3 linked regions of the Callithrix jacchus genome follow. The protein of the gene in region 1 purifies or fractionates together with the protein of each later gene. This does not show direct contact. Links are inferred from orthologs where the notes say so. Each region holds a gene or a part of one and is shown in the gene's direction. Other genes may lie near its edges. The genes, in order: WDR62, CEP170 and MAPK8.

Region 1 (8,070 bases):
GGTTCGTCAAGATGTTACCAACCCAGTAGGTGCTAGTGGGACATAGGCCCTGTCATCTAGGGCCAGGTTTAAGGTGACAAATGACAGCTGTGACCACCTGGGTGTTGGAGCCTGGGCAATGGAAGAGAGTGGGGGGAACTAGAGGAGACATAAAGGGGCAGCAGCCACCAGGCAGTCCCAGGAGAGCAGGTTCCAAGTTATCACATCTTCTTGTTGTCAAGAAGAGCAGGAAGTGCTGAATTTTTTTTTTCTGTGAAATTGTATAATTTTTAAATACATCTGTTTTGATAACACTCACTGTGTGAGACCAGCTCTGTGTCAGTGGGCTCGTCACACTGACATGGCACTGTCCAGAGTGACAAAACGGTACCAAGAGCTAACATGGGATAGCACTCTTCTCCCTTGCTGAGCGCTGGCCTGAACACTGTTGACCAATTTAATCCTCTCACCAACCCTCTGATATAAACATTATTGGCACGAAGTGTCTGGACCAAGATCACACGGGTAGAATGGAGAAGCTGGGATGACCTGATGACTGATTTCATTTGGGGAGAATGAGGAAGGTCTAGATTTAATTCTCTTTTAAGAATGAGAGACTGGAATCAAATGTTCTCATCCATACTCCTATGCTGGACTATGGTCTCCAGCCCCACCCCAGGGACCACCTCTGATGCAGCCCTGCATGTGTGCCTGCCCCTCTATAGGACTGTCCTAGGTCCCTGGGGCTATGTTCTGGCCCATACACCATAAGGGGCTGCTATCTGCTGAAGCGCCCCCTGGCTTAACATGGCTCCCTTTACGATGGCAGTTTTCTAAATGAGAAAAGTGGTTGTGCATCTGTAGAGTATTTGGCCATGATAAGGGGTTCTTATGTTGCTGGCCTGGCCATTCTGACCTTTCCTAGTAGTGGCAGAGCGCAAGGGGGCTGGGGTGTGGGGGCTTTAGCAGGCAGTCTATGTCTCCCAGGATCCACGAGCTGCACTTCATGGATGAGCTGGTCAAGGTGGAGGCCCATGATGCTGAGGTGCTGTGCCTGGAGTACTCTAAGCCGGAGACCGGTGAGCCCACAGTGGGGATGGAGTGGGTGTCAGGCAGGGAGGAGCCACCTTGGCAGAGCCACAGAAAGGAGTAGTTGGTGTCTGGTGGGACTGTGGATGGCAGCTGGGAGTCTTGTGTTTGGTAAGGGCCCCTGTTGCTGGACCCCGAAACCAGAGCGGCTGGGACTCAGCTTGACTTGCCCGCTGCTGGTGCCAGCCCCCAGCCAACACGGTAGATGTATGAATGAGTGAATTCTGAATGAGCTCATCCTCTACTGGAGAAGATAGATTGATTGTTAGGCATTCTTTTCTTTTTTGTTTTTATAAATTTTTTTGTATTTTTAGTGGAGATGGGGTTTCACCATGTTGGCCAGGCTGGTCTTGAACTCCTGACCTCGGGTGTTCCACCCACCTCAGCCTCCCAAAGTGCTGGGATTACAGGCATGAGACACCGCACCCAGCCTAGGCATTATTTTCAAAAAATTTGAAGCTTATAGAAATATTGGGAGAATATTATAATGAACACCCACCCACCTGGGCTTCACCCAAATTCCTCAAATTTTTTTGTTTGTTCTTTTTTTGAGATGGAGTCTCGCTCTGTCACCCAGGCTAGAGGTCAGTAGCACCATCTTGGCTCACTGCAACCTTCGCCTCCAGGATTCAAGTGATTCTCATGCCTCAGCCTCCCAAGTAGCTGGGATTACAGGCATACCACCATGCCTGGCCAATCTGTATTTTTAGTAGAGATGTGATTTCACCATGTTGGCCAGGCTGGTCTCAAACTTGACCTCAGGTGATCCATCTTCCCTGGCCTCCCAAAGTGCTAGGATTACAGGGGTGAGCCACCGTACCTGGCTTTTTTTTTTTTTTAATGGGACAGAGTCTCACTCTGTCACCCAGGCTGGAGTGTAATGGCACCATCTCGGCTCACTGCAACCTCCTTCTCCCGGGTTCAAGTGATTCTACTGCCTCAGCCTCTCGAGAGTCACTGAGATTACAGGCACCCCCCCCCCACCACACCCAGCTAATTTTTGTATTTTTAGTAGAGATGGGGTTTCACCATGTTGGCCAGGCTGGTCTCAAACTCCTAACCTCAGGTGATTTGCCTGCCTTGACCTCCCAAAGTGCTGGGATTACATGGCATGAACTACCATGCCCGGCTCCTCAAGATTTTTTCTAGGCTGGACACTATGCCTTAATCCCAGCACTTTGGGAGTTACGGAGTTGGTGGAATTAGGTCCTCATGTGATTTTCCCCATGCTCTTCTTTCATTCTCCCATGCCCCATGACCTGTGCCCCACCAACTTGTCTTTATACATCTCTTCACTCAATTTGCCTCTCCTGATCTCCTCTCTGCCTGGGGTCATGTTGTTAAGCCTCAGGCATAGCAAGTGACCAGAGTAGGGAAGGCTGGTGGCAGATGCGAGTCTGGCCACAGGCAGTCAATAGGACCTGGGCAAGGCCCAGGTAGCCTGACCTCAGAGGGTGAAAGGGCAGTGGTTTCAGGAGAGACTGAGAGGTTGCCAGGGATTTACCTGGTGTGCCAGGGAGTCGGACCCAGCAGGCAAGAGTGCTTGGCTCTGCTGGGGTGTCTGCTGTGGCTGTCCCTGGAGGAGCACCCATTGAGACTCATCCTCCCTGAGCTGGTGGTGAGGAGGTGAAATGTCAGGGTGTAAGGGCCCTGGGAAAGACCACGCAGAACTGAGGAAGTGACCCTTGCTGGGCTTGGGCCAAGTTGGCCCCCTTCTCCAAGACTGGGCAGCGCAGTCACACTGCCCTTTGGGAGGCCAGGGCACCCAGGCAGCCTTCAGGAACCAATCTCATCCTTTCCTCTCACAGGGATGACCTTGCTGGCCTCAGCCAGTCGGGACCGGCTGATCCATGTGCTGAACGTGGAGAAGAACTACAACCTGGAGCAGACGCTGGATGACCACTCCTCCTCCATCACCGCCATCAAGTTCGCTGGTGAGCCCCTTCCTTCCTGCTCCCTGTGCCCTGCTAGCTACCCTGCTAAAAAAGGATTTGTTCTTTTAACTCTCCTGTCAAATAGTATCCAAATAAGTGAATACAGTGTCTGTATACAACATAAAGAATAATGACCTGGGCAGGGAACGGTGGCTCAGTCCTGTAATCCCAGCACTTTGGGAGGCTGAGGAGGGTGGATCACCTGAGGTCAGGAGTTCAGGACCAGACTGGCCTACATGGTGAAACACCATTTTTGCTGAAAATAAAAAATTAGCTGGACATGGTGGTACACCTGTAATCCCAGCTACTTGGAAGGCTGAGGTGGGAGAATTGCTTAAACCTGGGAGGTAGAGACTGCAGCGGGTCATGCTTCCTCCCCTATATGGGGCTTACTCCCTTCTGTGAGCCAATGACTCTCCTTGAGCAACATCTAATATTTGTATGTCAGGCCTGGACCGTCTCTCAAATATTCTGTCATGAAGGAGCATGTCTGATGTGATGAGACCCTAAGAGTTTTATATTTGTTCTGCCTTTTCATTCTCACCAAACTCTTATTCTGTAAAGAAATGAGAATAGTAAAAGCAAGAATGTTTATAGTACTTGCCATGTTGCAGCCCCTATTCCAATGACTTCATACTACTCTCCAGGGAAGGGACTGTCACGACGCCCATTGTATGGACAGGAAGCTAAGGCTCAGAGGGGAGGCCCAGGTTCAGAGCTGTGTTTAAGAGCTTTGACTCTAGCACCAGAAAATGCCTGAGTTCAGTCCTCTCCCTGTCCTCTCTGTGTACCTTGGGACAAGGACTCTGTGAACCTCTGTGTTCACGCTTGTCCAGTGGAATGGGTGGTGAGCATTCAGGAATACTAGGCCCATGCATGGGGACTGGCCGGCTCGTTTGGATCTTGAAATTGATCTTGATGGCATGAGCCTCCCAGCCTGTCTCCACTGGTCCCTACTATAGTCCTGCCTCTACTCTGCTACTCAAGTCACCTATCTCAATCCCAGACTGGAGAGAGTGTCCCCTCTTTGTCCCCAGCCTTTGTTTCCCTATATGTCCTTGCTCTGCAGAGCCAGCCTTCCCCACAGCTCCACCTGTGCTCCCTCACACACACAGCTCATATCTCACAGAGTCCCATCCAGACCCAGCACCCACCTCACCTCCTCCAAGAAACCTTCCTAGATCCCAGTACAATTGATTGAAGGCCCTTGCAGTGGAGGTCCCCAGCTAGGAGCCCCTGCCCATGTGGCCCAGCCCTGCCTAACACACAGCCACTTCCTCCCCCAGGCAACAGAGATATCCAGATGATCAGCTGTGGGGCTGACAAGAGCATCTACTTTCGCAGCGCCCAGCGGGTAGGGTGGCATGGCCTGCTTGGGGACTGGGGTGGGGGGGTTATCAGGGGCATTCTCTGAAGGTCCTGCCACCCTGCCAGGGTTCGGATAGACTACACTTTGTCCGTACCCATCACGTAGCAGAGAAAACCACCTTGTATGACATGGACATTGACATCACCCAGAAGTATGTGGCCGTGGCCTGCCAGGACCGCAATGTGAGGTAAGGGGTGGCCTTGGGCCCTTAGCTGGACTGGGCCAGGCTGGTTTCTGAACAGGCACCGGCCTGGTCTGCTTTGTCCTAGGCTGGCTGCTTTCCTCCCTCTGTTCCTCTGGTCCCCAACAAGCTGGGAGGGGATTGAGGGATCCAGCAGGTGTTTCTTGTTTCTTGTTTCTTTTTTTATTCTGTTTTGTTTTGTTTTTTTGAGGCAGAGTCTCACTCTGTTGCCCAGGCTGGAGTGCAGTAGCACCATCTTGGCTCACTGTAACCTCCACCTCCCAGGTTCATGTGATTCTCTTGCCTCAGCCTTCCAAGTAGCTGGATTACAGGTGCCCGCCACCATGCCTGGCTAATTTTTTGTATTTTTAGTAGAGACAAGGTTTTGTCATGTTGGCCAGGCTGGTCTCAGACTCCTGACCTTGGGTGATCTGCCAACCTCAGGTTATCCACCGACCTCAGGTGATCTGCCCACCTCAGCCTCCCAAAGTGCTGGGATTACAGACGTGGGCTACCGCACTGGGCCGCTACCTGGTATTTCTCAGAAGTTGGGCTCTCCCAGGTCTGGTCTCCAGGTCAGCAGAGGGCTTCCTTCCAGCTCTCCCCAGAGCCAGTGTGGGATGACTGAGGTGCTAATGTGGCACATAAACTCCTGCATTCATCCGTATTCTCTGAGCGCCTAGCTGGGCTAGATGGCGTTGGGGTCATGGCAGTGGCCAGGATAGCCCCAGGCCCTGGACTTCGCAGTCCAGTGGAGGGGACATGGCTACCTCACAGCCACAGACAGTGACAGCACAGAGTGGTCAGAGATGGCAGAGCCCAGGGGCCCTAGGGAGATGCCCGACCCCATCTGGGGATCAAGCAGGACTTCCTGGAGGAAGAGACATCTGAGCCTGGGGAGGATGTGGAGGAGCGAGCCAGGGGAAGGCAGAGGGCAAAGGAGTGCAAAGAGGCTCTGCACCTCCTTCCTGACTCCTTATGGGGTGCTGGGCACTGAGCTTGCAGTTTGTAGGGGAGATGGGCATTAACTCAGCGGGTACCCCAGGACACAACTTGAGCTTGAGATGGGGTTTCAGTTTCAGTTTAGGCATCAGATGGGAATAGGAGATAGCAGGGGGCTTCCAGGGGAGGGGAGGACAGCAGGAGCCAGAGGGTGAAGTGGTAGGGCGGGGGCTGGGACCCTGTTTGCCACAACATGCCCCTACTTCCCCAGAGTCTACAACACCGTGAATGGGAAGCAGAAGAAGTGCTACAAGGGCTCCCAGGGTGACGAAGGGTCCTTGCTGAAGGTGAGGATTTGGGGCCCCCTGTCTGCTGCCTTGATGGGCCACCTAGTATGACGGCCCACACCTGAGACCTGTGCCCTTGGTGCTTCCTCAGTGCATTGCACTGGCCAGCACCTTCTCAGGCCTGGATAAACAAGGGTGGTTGCGAGGGGGTGGGGAGAGTGACCCCAGCTGCATTTCCTTTATTTACTGAGCCTTTACCCAAGTGGGGCGTCTAAGTTGGTTCCATTTTGAGTGGCAGCAGGGTATGGTGGAAAGAATCAGAGGCATGGACTCCTCTCCTGTCTTGCCCACACCAGCCATGATCACTCAGGACAAGGGGGGATCTTCTCAGAGCCTCTGGTCTAGGACAGTTATGGGTTCAGGCTCTGCCTCAGGTTGACTGTGTGACCTTGGGCAAGCATCATCTCTTGAGCCTGTTTTATGCCCTGTAAAATGCATGTAAAGACAGCTTGGCTCATGGACTTGTTCTCTGCATGAGTTCATTTTGCACACCTTCAGTGCTTAGCACAGGGCCTAGCTACTGTTGTTACTGCTGCAGTGGTGGTTCATTTCTTCACCTGCTGAATGGGAGTGGGAGCTGCTGCCCTACCAGGGTTCCATGTGCTGTGCATCCAGCATGGGGGAGGTGGGGCCCAGGCCTCACCATAAGGAAGAAGCAGGCAGCTGGAGTAACATGTGGGCCCCTTTCCTGGCAGGTCCATGTGGATCCCTCAGGTACCTTCCTGGCCACTAGCTGCTCTGACAAAAGCATCTCAGTGATTGACTTTTACTCGGGCGAGTGCATTGCCAAGATGTTTGGCCATTCAGGTGGGTGTGCCTCACTGCTTGGGATGCCTGCCCACCCACCCACAGCCTCTGACTCCGAAGGCAAGTGCAGCCTCTCTGCTTTGTTTGCAGAAATTATTACCAGCATGAAGTTCACCTATGACTGTCATCACTTGATCACAGTATCCGGAGACAGGTGGGACAGGCCTGGAGACTGCCCCTGGCCAGGCCTCCCTCTGGGAGTGGGTGGGACATGGACCATGGGAGAGTTGTGGCTCAGATACCATGACCACTTCACTTAGCCTGCCTGTGTAGAGAGCATTTCTGAGCTGCCCAATTTGGATTGTGTGAGTCTTGGTGTCACACCCAGCTGCTAGTTCAGATCCCAGCTCTAGGCTGGGCATGATGGCTCATGCCTATAACCCCAGCACTTTGGGAGGCTGAGGCAGGTGGACCACTTGAGCTCAAGAGTTCGAGATCAGCCTGGGCAACATAGCAAAACACCATCTCTACAAAAAATTAGTCAGGTGTGGTGGCACATACCTGTAGTCCCAGCTACTCAGGAGGGGAGAGACATCCTAAACCTGGTAGGTAGAGGTTGCAGTGAGCCCAGATTGTGCCAGTGCACCCCAACCTGGGTGACAGAGTGAGTCCCTGTCTCAAAAAAAAAAAAATCTAGGCCAGGCACAGTGGCTCATGCCTGTAGTCCCAGCACTTTGGGAGGCTGAGGCAGGCGGATCAGCTGAGTTCAGGAGTTGGAGACCAGCCTGACCAACATGGAGAAACCCTGTCTCTATTAAAAATACAAAATTAGCTGGGCATGGTGGTGCATGCCTGTAATCCCAGCTATTCAGGAGGCTGAGGCAGGAGAATCGCTTAACCCAAGAGGCAGAGGTTTTGGTGAACTGAGATTGTGCCATTGCACTCCAGCCTGGGCAACAAGAGCGAAACTCCATCTCAAAAAAAAAAAACACAAAACAAATCCCAGCTCTGTAACTTATTTTCTTGTCACCTTGAACAGGTTGTTTCCCCTCTCTGAGCTTCAGTTTGCTCCTCTGTAAATGACAACATCGTTTACCTTGAAAATTGTATGGTGAGGCTGGTTGTGGTGGCTCATGCTTATAATCCCAGCACTTTGGGAGGCCGAGGCGGGTGAATTACCTGAGGTCAGGAGTTCCAGGCCAGCCTGGTCAACATGGAGAAACCCTGTCTCTACTAAAAATAGAAAAATTAGCTGTGTGTGGTGGTGCATGTGTCTGTAGTCTCAGCTACTCAGCAGGGGCTAAGGCACAAGAATGACTTGAACCTGGGAGGTAAAGGTTGCAGTGAGCCATGATTGCAACTCTGCACTCTAGCCTAGGCGACAGAGCAAGACTCCATCTCAGAAAAAAGAAAAGAAAATTGTATGGTGAGAAATGAATGAGATGATACACATATATTCTTTGGCACATGGGTGGTGCTCAA
Region 2 (8,070 bases), on another chromosome or scaffold:
TAAGGACCTTTGAACAAAAACAAGTTCTGATCATTATAACCTGGTCTAAACTAATTTTTTGGTCTGATTTTCTGCTTTTCTAGTATTTAAATATTAGAGTTTATTTCATAAAACCAAAATAGCAAGTTTGACTTGATCTGTACCATGTTATTTACAAATGGTTTTTTGTTTTTTTTGTCTTGAGACGGGCTGGAGTGCAGTGGTTATGATCATAGGTCACTGCTGCCTCGACCTTCCTGGGCACAAGCGATCCTCTCACCTCAGCCTTCTTAATAGCTAGGACTACAGGCACCTGCATCACACCTGGCTAATTTTTTTGTATTTTTTGTAGAGACGAGGTCTTGCCATGTTGCCCAGGCTGGTCTCGAACTCCTGGCATCAAGTGATCCACCCGTCTTGGCTTCCTGAAGTGCTAGGATTACAGGCATGAGCCACTGTGCCTGGCCAATAAACTGTATTTTAAAATAAACCTTTTATTTCTTCAGTGGGGCATTTTTTTCAGGGGCCATAAGTGACCATTCTAAGCAATTTTCACCGAAGGTGAAATGTCTGTTCTTTAACAGTTGTATATACTCAGTAGCCATCCTCTGGAAAAATTCACTGAAATTTTAGCAGTGTGGCTAACCAGAGACTTTCTCTATTGTACAAGTCCATTACAGTTCTAAGTTGGTTCATGAAATAGTCATTATTTTCTTATTTTCCCTCAGTCATAATAATTTAGAAAAGATGACTGGCAATGGTGGTTTTTTTTGGGGGGGTTTAGAAAATTCAATAGTAGGCCGTAAGAATATTCTTATACCAGATTCTAGACCCATTGTCGCCTTAAGCGTATGTTCCAGACTTGATGTGATGTTAATGAATTTCATCTTTTTAAATAAGGTAAGCATATTGATCTTTGAAGAAATAACAGTACAAATATTAACTTGGTTTACAACTTAAATGCTGATCAGCTTCCAGTAGTAATAAATCGACGTGAGGTTGTGCAGTTTATATAAGACTATGAACTAGATTTCCAGACTTACTGAAGAAATTTAAAAAGATACCAAAAAAGTAGCTAGTATTTACATCTTTCTAAAACTGCTGAATCATGTCTGATAGATTCTGAAGTGTTAGACAAGTGTCCCACATTTGAAAGACACATCAAAATTTTATGGCCCTTTATTTTATGTTATTTGAAGTTGGTTTCTAATATAGGATAATTATTGGGAATTGTTTTTATCAAAAGGATAACATCCTAATTTCCTAATTTTTAATAGGTATTAGGTTCAAATATACTGACAAGAATTAACCATTTTTAAGGAAAAGTACAGTACTCCCAATCTGCAGTCTTTAAAATAATATTCACACTTTGCTTGATCCATAAGGTGCTTACTCCTGTATAAAGAAGTCTTAACAGACACAATCGTTTAGACCTAATTCAGCCTGTCTTCATCTCCCTTATTCCTATACTGCATATATTCTGTCTGAACAAAAGTACATTTGCTTTATGGGAACAGTTACAGGTAGTTTCTGCTTATACTCAGGTGATACCTGTTGTTCCAGGATGCCCCACTGGATGCCTGCCACCACGGATAGTTCTAGACCCTAATATACTGCGCTTTTTCCTACACATACATGCCTATGATAAGAGATCAACAACAGTAACTAATAATAAAATAGAACATTATAACAATATGCTGTTAAAAAAAAGTCATGTGAATGTGGTCTCTTTCTCTCTCTCTGTCTCACTCTCCTGAAATACTGTATAGTTTTGGACCATGCTTGACTGCCACTAACTAAAACCATGGATAAGAAGGCATTGCTGTATTGTTAATTATAAATATTATAGTTTTGAAGTCATATCATCGTTTACATTTGTTTTATGTTTTGTTTTCAGTAAAGAATAAGATAAACAGTAAAGAGTTTATGCATGTATCAATAAGTATTCAGTTACTTTTCAATATGGATCTCATATACCTGAATTAATTGGTATTGTTGGCTTCATATTTTCATTCTCGACTTATGCAATGGTTGTTTTTTTTTAATTTGTGTACCTCTGAAAAGATACATTGTTTTGATATTATTAAAAAAGTAATAGGTTTTTAAAAATAGGAAAAGTTATACGCTTACTTTTTTGATTTATAGAATATTATTTAAAGACAAAGATCGGAACTGGGATGACATAGAAAGCAAACTGAGAGCCGAAAGTGAAGTTCCCATCGTGAAAACCTCAAGCATGGTACCATGATTTCTCTTGAAGTTACAACATTTTAAGAGAGTTTTATTTTGGGAGAAAGGCCCTTATTTTTTGGGTTGTTCATTGATTTACTTTGTCAAAAGAAGATATAAATGCAAAATTTGGGGAAATTTTATTTCTTCAACTGACTCACAGGTTTAAAATGTTGATTGTTTCAAAGTTGCAGAGGGTTTAAGGAGGAGTCTTTTGTGTTCCTTACTAGTATGTATTGTTGTTCTTGTAATACTTACAAACATGAAATTTTTAAAGAACACCAAATTTAATGTGAAAATATTAAGTTGACAGAAGTTGTTTCTGTTTACTTACTTGATATAATGCTTGTCTCCTTTTTAAAAGAATTTGTACAGATCTTCATTGCTCAGAATATAATCCTAATATTGAGGTTGCAGTTTATATGTTTTTACAAAGATAATGCGTAGGCACTTTTGCATAGTCATTGCAAGGTTGATTAGTAAGAATCTTTAAAAATCTTTGTGGCGGGACACGGTGGCTCACACCTGTAATCCCAGTACTTTGGGAGGCCAATGAGGGTGAATAATTTGAGTCCAAGGGTTCAAGAACAGCCTGATCAATGTGGCAAAACCCCATCTCTACTGAAAATATAAAAATCAGGCAGGCATGGTGGTTTGTGCCTCTAATACCAGCTACTTGGGAGGCAGAGGCAAGAAAATCGCTTGAACTTGGGAGGATGAGGTTACAGTGAGCCAAGATCATGCCACTGCACTCCAGTCTGGGCAACAAACAGAGTGAGACTCCATCTCAAAAAAGAAAAAATTGTTTTGCTTAAATAGTATAAATGACTTTAAACTTTACGTCTGCTGCAATCATCTCATTGAAAAAGTTATTCTATTTCAAATGTTTAAATATTTTAATTTGAATCTTGTTTACTAGATACCATAATTATTTCATACATGTTACTATTAATGTAGTACCATGTAGATAATGTTAAGTTTTCCAAATAAAATGAGAGTGAAATTCATTGCTTGTAAACTGGTAACATGTAGCTAAAGTAAGCTAACTTTTGTTACTGCTTTCCCTACAGGAGATTTCTTCTATCTTACAGGAGTTGAAAAGAGTTGAAAAGCAGCTACAAGGTAAATTTACTACTGAACTAAGTATAAAGAGCTAATAATTTACAATAAGTGCCTTCTAAGTTGTGTTTCTTAAAATATTCTTATTATTAGGATATTATTTGATTAAAAGCAATGACATACATAAAATACAGTTCTACATATTCACGTTACTCATCCAAAGGAACTTTTTTTAATTATATTATATTTTTAAAAATTATATTATATTTTTAAAAATTAAAAATATAATAAAGATAAATGAGCATATTTTAGTTTATAGGTTTGACATTAGGCTAGATGTTATAACTAATTGAAATTTTGTATGTATTAGGTATAAATAATAAGTAAAAAATAAATAATAAAGTTGTATATGTAGCTAAAACAGCTTGATAATTAGCATTATTTATGTGATTTGACAATTCTTAAATTACGTTAGTGGTATAACCTACAACAGTATTCTGATACAAATAATAGTTGCTTGGGTTGACAAGCAATGAGTACATATTACACATAAGGACCAAAAGAGAAAGGAGAGAAGAAAATGAGAGACTGTGACAGGGACATTGTTTGGTTTGTGTCAGAGCTGGATTATGCATTAATGCCTATGTATGCCTAGGACTTCTTGACCTAGAAGTCCCCAGTGGTACAATAAGCAGGTTCTATAGCCAACTGCTAATTCTACTGAGTCTTTATTTATTGAATAATCATAGGTTCATATGTGGAGCCTATGGAAATGATTTTTAACCTTTATTCAGCCCCAACACACCTAAGGGTTATGATATACCCCATGAGTAAAAGTAGCTTGCTAACATAATGATTGTTAGCTGGTAGACTGGGGTATACTTTTAAAAGGGCCTTCAAAATGATTCTTCTATCTGTGTTACTTCCTTCTCCCAGCTCTCTACTCTGCCCAATGCCAAATTGAAAATCACAGCCTGAGAACTTTCCATGTCAACCCAAAGATCTTTTGGATTGAAAGCTGATCTTTAGCTGACCCCTCCCATACAGGTAGCAAAGTCTGCTTGGCTTTGCAGGCTGCCCTCAGTGGTATAGACAGCTGATACCCTAGCACTCTGGCCAAGCTAAGTCACAATATTCTATGGTAGCATTCAGAGTATGCTGATGTTCTTCTGGCCTCTCCAGACTTGAGGTTACTCTGAACGCTGTCTTAGCAACTAAACCCCCAGTAATCTGAGTGATAAATACGGCTTAGATGTTTATTAAAAATCATAATAATTATTTTCTGCATCCTCTCACAATAATGAAAACAAATTTCAAAAAGATTTTTCTTGAATTCTACATCTTCAAATGCCAGACTTAAAAATCTCTGAAATGCCCGGAAGTGACACATCAAAGGACCCAGAGAAAGTATTCAGGGCTCGGTAATTGACAATACAGAGCTATGGAATTACTCAGAATGGAGTTTTAAATATAGTATTGGAAGAGTAGCCACATTTAAGATCATATACACACTGATAGTTTAAATATTATCCAAATCATAAACAATGTTCATATCTGAATGTAACTGCATCTGGAATTACATCCTTTTCCCCTATTTTAGCAATCAATGCTATGATTGATCCTGATGGAACTTTGGAGGCTCTGAACAACATGGGATTTCCCAGTGCTATCTTGCCATCTCCACCAAAACAGAAGTCCAGCCCTGTGAATAACCACGGCAGCCCTGGTCAGACACCAACACTTTGCCAGCCAGAAGCTAGGGCTCTTCATCCTGCTGCTATTTCAGTCTCAGCTGAATTTGAGAATGCTGAATCTGAGGCTGATTTCAGTATACATTTCAATAGATTCAACCCTGATGGGGAAGAGGAAGATGTCATAGTACATGAATGACTTTCTCTTGATTACTGAAAAATCATTACCTGTGGAATTGCTAGGAATATTGGAAGCAGCATAGTGTTGACGTACACAAAACAATACAGCTTGGTCAACTACAGTCTTGTAATCCCTGTCTTCTTCATTTTATTTATTTATTTTCTACATATAATGTAGTATGTCAATCCTTTCAAACCATTTAGATAACCACTTGATGCACAAATAGGGAAAAAGCAGATTGTGGCAGTGTCATCTTTTATGGTCTTACGACTTTCAAATTGAATTTTATTATTACACCCTTTCCCTTCATAGATCTTTTTTTTAAGCCATGCTGTGACCTACAAGCAAACTAAATAGCCAACATTTCTGAACCCCTATGTCTCCTGTGCCAAGCTGCTCCCTGAAATGGACTTCTTCATCTGTACAGCTTTGTTAAACCATTCTATTTGCTTCTTAATAATAGGATTTATATTAGTACTCATTACCACTGGACACAATGACGTAACTACTATCCGCAGAAAAGCAGACCTTTCACAACAGTCATACTGTGTCCTAAAATTTTCCAACATAGATGTGATTTATATAACTTTGTTGATAACGTAAATTGTCTTGGGGTTTACGGAACTTAACTATTATGTTTGCACTAAGATTTGCTGGGAGTGGTAGGTGGACATATCTATATATCAATAAGGACTAACCGTCTTTTTTGTACATAGGAGATTGATAATACTGTACTTGTTTTAACCCCACAGTGTTTTACTCCACTTTCAAAAACATCGATTTGGCACTTTTTTTTCATTTTTTTTAATGAAAATAAGATTTTGTCTCTCATTTTAGGTAAAATGATAACTAGAAAGATTAAACTAGACAGATAGTTTAGGTGGAGTATATTTTTAAAACTAAGAACATGTATATTGGTCCTGTGTTACCAAGTTTATATGTGACAGTTGAAAAAAAAAAATTCCCTTGAAATGATCATGAGGTTAAAATTGTCTTCATTAGGGGAATTGGAGAACCAGTAGTCATAAGATTAGTTGGTAGTTTCACTCCCAAGCAATGAATTGCTTCTGTGTGTTTCCCTGTAGGACTCAGTAGTAAATCCTGTCTATCTTACACGTTTATAAGGACCCTGCAAGACAGCGACAGAGGCCTTTGGCCTGTGCCACTAAACAAGAGGCCTGTGAAAAATTTCTTCTTTCAACTTGTTTTTTCTCTTTCCAGTAAGTTCACATTTGGATGACTTTAAAACGTAATTACCTTTGTGTTTCCAGAACACTATAATTGGGGTGTATCTTAATTCAGTTAAATATGATTGAAAGTAGACCTGGATTTTCCCCCTTGACCCCATCAGTCTATAAAGGTTAAACTGCAACTTTTATGACATGGTCTTTAATATTTCCACAATAATCCTGTGCTATATTCGCTTTAAGAAACAGTGTAACTCTATACACTTCAAGACTTTACAGGATTTTCTAAATCCAGTATTGTTGGATCAATTAATAAAGATACAAAAAATCTTTTTATAGAGATATAAAAACAAAAGTATAATGGATCTCATATTTTTCTTTAAATTCAAAAAAAAGTAAATGAACTATTCTCCTTGTAAAGCTAAATTCCCCATTCTGTCTAATAAAGGAAAACTGAAAGAAGGTTTTAAAGAACATAAATGGAAAGATACAAATGCTTTGAAGGAATAAACAAAATGTTAAAACAGGGTCAATCCATTTGAAAAAAAAGTTGGACAAAGTAATCAGCATTGCTCCCTCTTTTTAATACTTGGGTACTGATTATATCCACATGGAAGTAGAAGGTAAGGAGTTTAGGAAAATATTAGAATCTACTCTGCTTACATTCTTGTTTAAGTGTTTACAAGTTTGGTTCAATTATAAACATTTGGCCTTTTACTATGTTATTTTAATTTTGTATGAATACATTATTCTCCTTATTTATTTTTGTTACATTTATTACTTATGTTATTTTGTTATGCATTTACAACTCCATTTTTAAATAAAGTGTTTCTGGAACTTTATATGATGATTGTATATATTTTTTCTTTTACCATCTTGCTTGCTAATACTTCATCAACTTATCAAATGAATATTTATAAACCATTTCCCAAGGCTTATAATATAGCCAAAGAAAGAATCCTCCACTTTTGTTAATATGTGATAACTGAAATCTCTTATTTTGACTATTTAAAGAAAAAAATCTTAGCAAATTATGATCAGTATAATTCACTTATCTTAATGCCCTGATGTAATGTGCATGTACAAAGTCTTTATTTTTAACCAGCTTTAGATCATCAGAAAGCTTTATGACAGTGATATATTTGGGGAATAAAATAGAAATTTAAAATACCTTGGTCATCTGAAATTTGATAACTATCAATTTGTACTGCTTTTTTAACCCTATCACTCAAGCTCAAGAATCTTAAATGTCTCCTTATTGCTATTCAAAATCCTAAGTCTCACAGAGTAACCTTTTGAGACTTTGTGTGACCTAGCCCTGTTCTTATGTGCGTATCTCTGTGTCCCAGTACAATATCTACCACCATTTACAAGTTTCTTGACCATCATGAGCTTTTCATCATTCTGTTCCCTGCATCTTCCTCCCTCCGCCCTTCCTTCTTGCTTTCCCATAGTCCGTTCATTCTTCATGGTCCCACCAACCACTTCATAAAGCTTCCTTCACTTGACTGCACCATGTAGGGCTGTGCCACCTATATGCATTTTACCCTTCCCCCATGACACACACACGTTTCTTCCCTGGTAACTAAAGTAATCTTCATTTCCTGGGTAGACCCTTTGCTTTGAAACATCTCTGCTGTTTTGCCTCTTTCATCTCTCCTTGGGTTTACTTGCCATGTCTCTGCCTGACATGAAACCAAACCTGGAAGTGTGAGATCCAGACCCACTCCCTACTAGTTATCAG
Region 3 (8,609 bases), on another chromosome or scaffold:
TCAGCAGACACTGAGTTTGAAAGGCCTACAGTTCCTCTTCTCTCCTTTCCCCATTCCAGCCTCAGAGGGATCCAAAGACCAGCTGTCTCCAAGACAGTTCCCCTGAAACAAGAGACAAGAAACATGAATTCACTATGTTTTCCTCTTTTTCTGAGTCAGACCCTCAACAGGTTAACAAGGAACTCCAATAGTTTGACAAGGAAGAATTGTATGAGAAGAAGGAGGCCCAACACTGCATCTGGGTTACAAAAAGCATTTTGAATTTACAGACTATCTGAGATAATTACATTCCATTAGAAATAGAAAAATGCTTTCTGAAATCATACACACACACACAAACACACAAATGTACACATGTAAATATGTGGAATGTTCTTTCTAGATGTAGACAATCAGAAGCTGACCATGGTAGATTGACGCTAAGTCAGAAGCTTGCCCTGTGGAATGAGATGGAGGTCGTTATTAACGATAGCATTACAGAACTGGGTATGAAACTCTGGAGCTCTGCTCCCAGCAACTCCCCTCACTTCACAACAGCTCTAAGTGTTGTGTTGGTTTTTTTGTTACTTCCAGGTCTTTAATTTATCTGGTGAAGAGTAGGAGGTACTGGCCGATACCTCTGGCTGGGTGGCCCAATCACACCCCGTTTTCTCAGGAAACATATATTTCTTCCTTTTCTTCTGTGTGTATTCAACCTCTCCCTCTCAACAGTCTTACCATCAGAGGTAAAATAAGCTTGTATCCTACTTCACTGCCTGACTCATCCATGTTCACCACCTTTATTTTCTCACCTCCCGTTCATTTCCCCGCCCACTCTCATTTCTGGTTCTATTACTCCAGGATTCCAAGCCTCCTGTTATGTTTAATATTATTGATCAGTACTTTCTTCTTGAACACCTCTCTCCCGGTTATCCTTCCATCTTCCTGACAGCTCATCACAGACTCATCTCCCCCTTTGTGGCCCTTTAACACTGAAGTTCCCCAAGACTGGTTGCAGGCCCTCTCTTCTTTTCACTCACTACCCTCTCTCCCTCAGGCCTAGGCTGACCCATCCATCCCAAGGCTTCAAGGCATCACTCACTGTCAATGATTTGTCTCTTATCTAGCTGAGCCTCAGCTCTGTATATCTAACCACCAATTTAACATCAGTTTTGGGCATCTCAAAGGCCTTTAAACAGCCAAACAACCTGCTCTCATGATATTTTCATGCCTGCCCTAGAAAAGCTGCTTCCTGTTTTCCCAAAATCCACATCCTCTGAGATTTGGAGTCTGGTCCTTTTCCAAGATTTCCATCTTGTTGAACCAGCATTAACATCCATCCTTGGCCACAAGCCCGAAACCTTAAAGTTTTCCTTGATGACTCCCTCGCCTTCATGGCCCTACCTAACCCATCACTTGAAGAATGTGCAAGTTCTGCCCCTTGAGCATCCTAAATAATTCTGAGCTCTTTCCATGTCCATCAACTATTTCCATGACCATTATCCTAGATCAAGCCTCTACTTCCTATGGTCTAGACTACTCCTACATCCACCTGGCCTCTTTCCAGTAAGAAATATTTTCAAGAAGCTATTCTAATCATGCCATACCCTTTGCTGAATATGTCAGGGGCTTCCCATTGCACTTAGGGTAAAAAGATTTTCAACGTGGCCAATATGGCTGTCCTACATTTGGTCCCTTTACCAGTCTTCCTGACTTCATCTTATAGCTCCTTGTTTGCTCTTCCAGCAGAGCTAGCCTTTCCTGAATTTCTCCAGTTTATCCTGCTCAATCTCTTCACAGGACCTTTGCATACAAAGTTACTTCTAAAATATTCTCTGCCTAGTCAAACCCATTCCAAGCTCAAGTGACAGTTTCTCAGGGAAATCTTTTCTGCCCCTATTAACTAGTGTATTAACTGGTTTCATAATATTATGTATCCTTGACAATTTGTATTATAAGACAGTGATAATTTTGCATGTGTTTACTGCTATTACTTTGATAGCACAGTGATTAAATCTGTAAACTCTATTGTATTGCCTGGCACTGAATGGGCATGCAATAAATAATTATTGCAGGAATAAAGGATGGCAGGAAATTAAGAAGGTTGAAAAGGAGGGAGAGAGAAACTGGGATGAGAATTAATGAATAATCACCTGTATGTTCCTTTTCAGAATCACCAGAAACAGGCCAGCCCAACATACATATATATATAATATTTATAAAAATTATATTTATTATAAAAACAAATCATTATAGATATATTTATAAAAATATATAAATATGTAAATATTTATATATTTATTATTAAAGTAACTTACTTGTTTCCGATTGTGAACATAACTATTATTCTCGGAAAACATGAGAAAATACCCAAAGTGTGAAAGAGAACCAAGTCACCCTTTATTCCATAGTCCAATGATGAACGACTGTTAACATAATTTGGTGTATTTCTTTCCAGGTTTTTTCTATGTGTATATATAGTATCTAAGTGGGATCATTCTATATATAAGACCTGTTTTGTGCTTCTTTCTCTTAATGATATATTGTGAACATTTTTCTATGTTGTTAAGAATTCCTTGAACACATGGCCTTTAAATTGCTAAAATGTATTCTACCGAATTGATGTAGGTAATTTCCACCCGTTGTTGGATATTTAAAGGGCTCGTCAATTTATCGCTTCTGTAACATTTACACGCTTTGTGGTGCCTCAGAGGTAAGCCAGGTAATGCAAGGCATCTGGGAAGAGTTGGATTTGCAAGGAATCTCGGAGGACGTGGATTTTGGGAAAACAGGAGGCAGCTTTTCTAGGGCAGGTGAAGAGAACACTTATCTCTCTGTGGGTTGCTGGGACCCGGACAGGTGTCCTCGGAATGGAACTACTGTTGGTCAAGGTAAACAGCTTTTCATCGCTCAGATGTGTATGGAGTGGAAGAGTGCCTGTTCGCCGGGCATATTTGGCCTAAGCGCACCTGCCCTTCAACCCTGTGCCAGCGAGGCCCGAAGGCTTAAGCAAGGACCTGGCTACCGGTGCCAGCCAGACGCGGTCCCCTGGTGCCACGCGCCAACACGTGCCGCCTCAGGGCCCCGCCCCTCCCGCTCCTGGCCATGCCCCTCACCACCGCCCTCGGAGGCTCTCCCCGCGGCTCCGCCTCCAGGCCACCTCCGCAAGTCCCTCGGCCCACTGGAGTAGCCCCGCCCTCGGGCGGCGCCCCGCCCCCGCAATCCGGGCCCCGGGGCTGCCCCGCCCCGCAGGCCGCTCGGGAAGCGCGGGGGCAGGGCCCTGCGCGATGACGTAGGCGGGCGTGCGCGGTGACGGCCCGCGTCCCTGTTAGTCAGCGGAGCCGCTGAGGCCGGACGACGCGGCTCGGAAAGCTGAGCCGCGAGCTGCGCCGGGTAGCGGCCGCGGCGACCGCCCGGACGGCCCCTGTCTCCGCTGGCGGGCTTCCCTGTCGCCTTTCGCTGCGCTGCCGGGTGAGTGCGGCGGGAGCCGCAGGGCCAGGGCGGCCGGCGGCCCCGCCGTGTTTATGTTATTGTGCCGTCGCCGCCGCAGCCTTCTCAGCCGTGACCCCCTCCCGAGAGTGGGGACGAGAGCGCGCGGCGGGCGGGGGCGGTGCGGGAACAATAGCGGCGCGGAGGCGGGGGCCGGACGAGGGGGCGTGGGGCTGCGGGACCTGAGCGCGCTCCGCCGGCCGCCTGTCCGCCCGCCCGCCACCGTGAGCCCCGCCCGCCTGTCCTCTCGCGTCCTCCTTGCGCGGGTCCTGCCTCCGAGTCGGGAGGAGAAAATGGAGCGGGGGGTGGGTGGCAAGTTCTGAAACACTTCGGCGAGGGTCGGACGGAGGCATCTCCGCGGCCCGCCGCTCCCTGGCTGCCTCCCGGGCGGCGAGGAGCCGAGGAGAGCGCTCCTGCCGCCGGGTCCCCAAGCCTGCCCCGAGCCCATGGGGACCGTATTTTGCTTCTCGGTGGTTTCTTTGTGCTAACGTTCTGGGCGAACGCAGGCAGCAGCGCTGAAAAGGGCCGGGGTGGCCTTCAGCTCTGGGCTGCGAGGCAGAGCTCAGGCCGGTGGCTTGGGCGGGAGGTGTCCACCCAGCTCGGCCCGAGCTTCAGTGGTCAGCGCGCATTTCTCTTGGGGGTCACTCGGTGGTGACCTTTTGACTTTTTCACCCCGCCCTCCCATCTCTTTGTCTCACATTTGTGTTCCCAATTCAGAGATGGTAGAACCAAGGCCATTTTAAAGTACCCTGATGAACACTTCATTTTTATTCCCGAAAGTTCCTCGCCTGGTCTTTACTGCGAATTTAATAATATGTTGACTACATGGCATTGTCCAGTGATTACTATTTTTACCTCTGAAATTCAGTGATTTTTCCAGCAGAATTCTGGTCCGTCAGTCCATTGTGTTTTGAGATAAGCATCCAGCGAGTACCCTCTTGACAATTAGAAATCTGTTTTTTTCATTCATTCATTCATTCAGCAACTGTTTAGTAGCGTACCCAGATGAAGAGGTTTGATTTGAAGGTAAAGAGAAGTATCCTTTCATGGAAGAGGATGCTTTGAAGTACAATAGATGGACCTTTAAATGAGACAATTATGTAAGTCATGTCTGCTAAGGAAGGTATAGTTATATTCTGGGTCATTTTTTAAGCAGTATATCTGGAAGTACAAGTGTAATATTAGGAAGTAGACTTAGATTTGGTCTAAACATACAACAGCTTTTATTTCTAAACTTTATTTTTTCCAGTCTTGCAGCCTTACAGTCATTTGTAATGGTTACCTCAGATTCCCCTGCTGTGGTTAACGTTAAACCTAGGAGGTCAGATGCTCTAAGTGAACATGTTTAGTGCTGTGCCTGACAAAAGCAAGCAATCAAAATGGGACTTCCTTGAGGGCAGGCCTGTCTTGCATCTCTTTCTCCACCACCTAGCCTGGAATATAGTAAGTGTTCAATAAAAGTCGGATTGATGAAAAGCTCTTTATAATTGATAATATTTTAAATCAAACTTTAAAAAAATGGTCTCCATAAAGTTTTGGAAGCTTCATGCTACTGTTGCTTCAGATGGCTGAATGATCAGTTCATGTACATTATCTTTTACGATGACATGGGCTTTTGAATCACTTGTAGGTCATTAATTTTCCTAAAATAAAATCTTGTCTAAGTTTTTTTTATATGATTAATAAACTAAAGCAGGTTGTGGGGTGTGTGCGTGTATGTACTAGTGTATGTATGTCTGTGTGTGTATGTACGTAATCTACACACAGGCACACATAAACTGATATCTCAGTAGGGGTCTAAAATGATTGCAGTTATCATTTTGTGAATATTGTTTGAAAGGTTTTTGGTGACACTTATTTTGTGGAAAAGTAAGGGCAAAAGAAACCACATAAATGTTTTATTAGAAATATTTAATTTCTAATATTTTAGGAATGTTTACTTGAAATGTTTGATTTTAAGTTCTAACTTGTATTAATACTATTGGCACAAAATATGAGCCTAAAACTCAAAATAATGGATTTATCCAAGTTAAAGTTATTTTTCACTATTTAATACAGTGTAGCATTTGTTTTGGATTTGAAAGAATACGAAATGAGTGAACTAATTAATGAGCTTATTATTTGATGTAAAGTAGAAATGAAGAAATAAGAAAATGATACTATTTAAAGATAAGGGATGAAAATCCTTTAGATACCAAACTTTCATTGGTTTACCTAAAGTATGTCATATTCTAGTAGGGGGTTACTGACAAACCTTTGGCAGTAGCTCACAGTAAGGCTATGTAGAGAACCAGAGTTATGTTATTTTGTATTCCAAATTGTTGTTTTTTTAAAAATAGCTCTATTGTAATTTAATTGACATATCATAAAATTCACCCTTTAGAGTATATATATTTCATTGGTCTTTTGTATATTCACAAAGTTGTGCATTGATCACCACCACTAATTCCAGAACATCACCCAAAGAAGAGGCATTATACCCATTAGCAGTCACTCAGAATTCCAGTTCAAATTATGCTTTAAGAAATATAGCATCGATTCTGTTAGTAAATATATTCCTTTAATAAGTATGAAAAGGGCTCCTTTTAAGTGTCCTGGAAACTATATCCTTCATATTCCTTTAGATCCTGGGGGAAATGCCATTTGGAAAGGCAATTAGTGCAATAATAAATTGTACACAAATAAACGTGGTTAGAATCTTAACTGTTTGCTCCATGCCTAATATTACGGAAGTGACCTTGTGAGGATGAGGTGTTCAGTGAAACAACTTGAAGTAATTTGTTGTTAAATGAATAGTTCCCAACTATCCTAGTGCTATGAGGTTGTTGAGTAGGAGCCTGCTACTTGTTGGTCCACTTTGCCAGTGGGTTGAATTTTGACATATTTGAGTCATCTACATGGTTGGGATGCTTTGTTGCATGTGTGGAAATACAAAATATAATGTCTTGACATTAAGATTCCAGCTCTCTAGAGGTCTCTGGTCAAGTCAATGGTATGGGTAGTAGCCTTTCTGATTGATGTAATCCAAGGAAGTAATTATAACCACGTAGCTTTATATATGAATCATTTGCCTATGTCAGTGAACTGTGATGCTGATTGTCTTAATCATGAGCTCTTTATCTGAACATTTAGAAGCTTTGCATTCTTACTCTAACGCAGGTTAAGTTGAACTTTGATTTCAGAAATGAGTTGACTGGAAGGTAACAGGAGTATTGTAATAAGAGTTGCCTTGTTATTCAGGTCAATAGGTGGAACTAAAGCAATCCAGGAATCAGACCTAGGTTCATTTCTCATTTCTGCCATCTGGACTTTGTTACCAACAAGTTATGGAGCTTTAGGCAAGTGCCTTAATTTTCTTTTGGCTTTAAAACTATAAACTGAGGCTGTCAGAACTTTTTTTTAATAGAAGCATTGTTCATCATATAGGTGGTTCTTCAGAAAACATACTAGGATAAAAAGAGCCCTTCTTGGGTGATAATCAGAAGCCCAAATTAAGAACAGTAATCAAAGTTAGAATTTTGTAATTTTCAGAAGCAAAAAAAAAAATTGTTTAATTTTTTTTCTCTAATATTCAGAGTTAGAAAACAAATAGAAGGCATCACCATAAGCTAGAGATTCTTGGAAAGGTAGATTTTTATTTATTCCACAGCATCATGCCTTCTCATGAGACCCTATACTCACAGAGACTTTGTAGAAGAAATAAAATGAAGAGATCATGATCCTCAGGAAAATTATAATCAAGGATGAGACTTAAGGCATCTCTAAACAGTGAATTTATGCTCTTTTAAAAGGTATATATGATTGGAAGGTCGAGACAGGTAGATCACCAGGTCAGGATTTCAAGACCAGCCTGGCCAAGATGATGAAACCCCGTCTCTACTAAAAATGCAAAAATTAGCTGGGTGTGGTGGCAGGCACATGTAATCCCAGCTACTTGGGAGGCTGAGGCAGTGAATTACTTGAATCCACGAGAGGTGAAGGTTTCAGTGAGCTGAGATTGCGCCATGGCACTCCAGCCTGGGGATACAGTGAGACTCCCATCTCAAAAAAAAAAAAAAAAAATAGTTATATGAAAGGGCTCCCGCCAAACAAAAGTCCACCTCACATCTCTGTGCAGGCCAGATTTCACTGAAGTCCAGTTTTTAGAGAGAGACAGAGAGAGAGAGAGAGAGAGAGTGAGTGTGTGTGTGTGTGTGTGTGTGTGTGTAGAGAGAGAGGAGACACCTTTTTGAAAAACTTAGTAGCTTCCATTCTTTTTCAAGGAGGTGGGTTATATCACACATAGATACCTGTGTTTGCTGTTACCCTTTATTATATTTCCATTTTAGTCAAAATCTGCCATTCTTTAGAAAGTTAAGGAACCCAAACCTTATAGTGATTGCTAGCGTGGGTTTTAAGGTCAGCCCTGGGTTCTAATCCATGCTCCAATCTAAGTAATTGAGGTAAAGGCTAGTTCAGGTTATATAACATATTTGGACCTGTTTTATTTGTCAAATGAGAATAATAATAGCACATAACCTCATAGGGCTGTGAGGTTTAAATAAGGTACTGCATGTAAAGTGCCTGGCACTGGTTTGGTGCCTGGAATGTTAGATACAAGTATTCACGTAGATTTTGCTATTGTTATCACTTATTTTTAACTTTGAGCAAATGTAAAATGCCAAGTAAACTTGTTATCACTTATTTTTAACTTTGAGCAAATGTAAAATGCCAAGTAAACTTCCAATCAGTTTAATGCACAGTGTCTATTCTAATTCTCCAGAATATGCAATTTGTTTCATTCTGCATCTCTGGGGGGTTTATTTAAAATTTGATCATCTCATATAATCTGAATTGACTGAGATGATTTATTTGGACCAGTAATCCTCTCTGTCTTAAAATTTGGAAATGTTCCAAAAGCAAATATTGAAGGGAACATAGTTGCCATTTTCATGATGTTTTGCCTTTTCCCACAGCAGAAAATTGCCTAAGCTTTCCTAGGTTCATTATAGACATCTAAAGGAGCTGGGAATAGCTTTATCATGTGACACATCTGAAGAAAATGTAATGCTGTCATATCTTTTAAATGTAGTGTTATTGGGGTCTTTGATTTTGGGAGGATTGCAAATTTGTCAAAGACCTGGTCAACCACAACAATTCAT

The links.
Region 2: the proteins of WDR62 (region 1) and CEP170 purify together in Homo sapiens (affinity purification with mass spectrometry; 3 studies listed by BioGRID and IntAct, with this or other methods). This does not show direct contact. The link is inferred for Callithrix jacchus from reciprocal best matches to the Homo sapiens genes WDR62 and CEP170.
Region 3: the proteins of WDR62 (region 1) and MAPK8 purify together in Homo sapiens (affinity purification with mass spectrometry; 5 studies listed by BioGRID and IntAct, counting the BioPlex papers as one, with this or other methods). This does not show direct contact. The link is inferred for Callithrix jacchus from reciprocal best matches to the Homo sapiens genes WDR62 and MAPK8.

The regions. Positions count from the first base shown.
Region 1 is NC_133523.1:32,230,098-32,238,167, forward strand, and holds part of WDR62 (WD repeat-containing protein 62), read left to right. Parts: intron 1-966; coding exon 967-1,058; intron 1,059-2,876; coding exon 2,877-3,002; intron 3,003-4,288; coding exon 4,289-4,356; intron 4,357-4,436; coding exon 4,437-4,558; intron 4,559-5,765; coding exon 5,766-5,841; intron 5,842-6,536; coding exon 6,537-6,648; intron 6,649-6,738; coding exon 6,739-6,802; intron 6,803-8,070. UniProt on the Homo sapiens protein: Required for cerebral cortical development. Plays a role in neuronal proliferation and migration.
Region 2 is NC_133520.1:43,011,002-43,019,071, forward strand, and holds the end of CEP170 (centrosomal protein of 170 kDa), read left to right. Parts: intron 1-2,124; coding exon 2,125-2,218; intron 2,219-3,278; coding exon 3,279-3,330; intron 3,331-4,867; coding exon 4,868-5,157; 3' UTR 5,158-7,168; downstream 7,169-8,070.
Region 3 is NC_133513.1:40,580,126-40,588,734, reverse strand, and holds the start of MAPK8 (mitogen-activated protein kinase 8), read left to right. Parts: upstream 1-3,298; 5' UTR 3,299-3,450; intron 3,451-4,717; exon of another isoform or gene 4,718-4,911; intron 4,912-8,609. UniProt on the Homo sapiens protein: Serine/threonine-protein kinase involved in various processes such as cell proliferation, differentiation, migration, transformation and programmed cell death.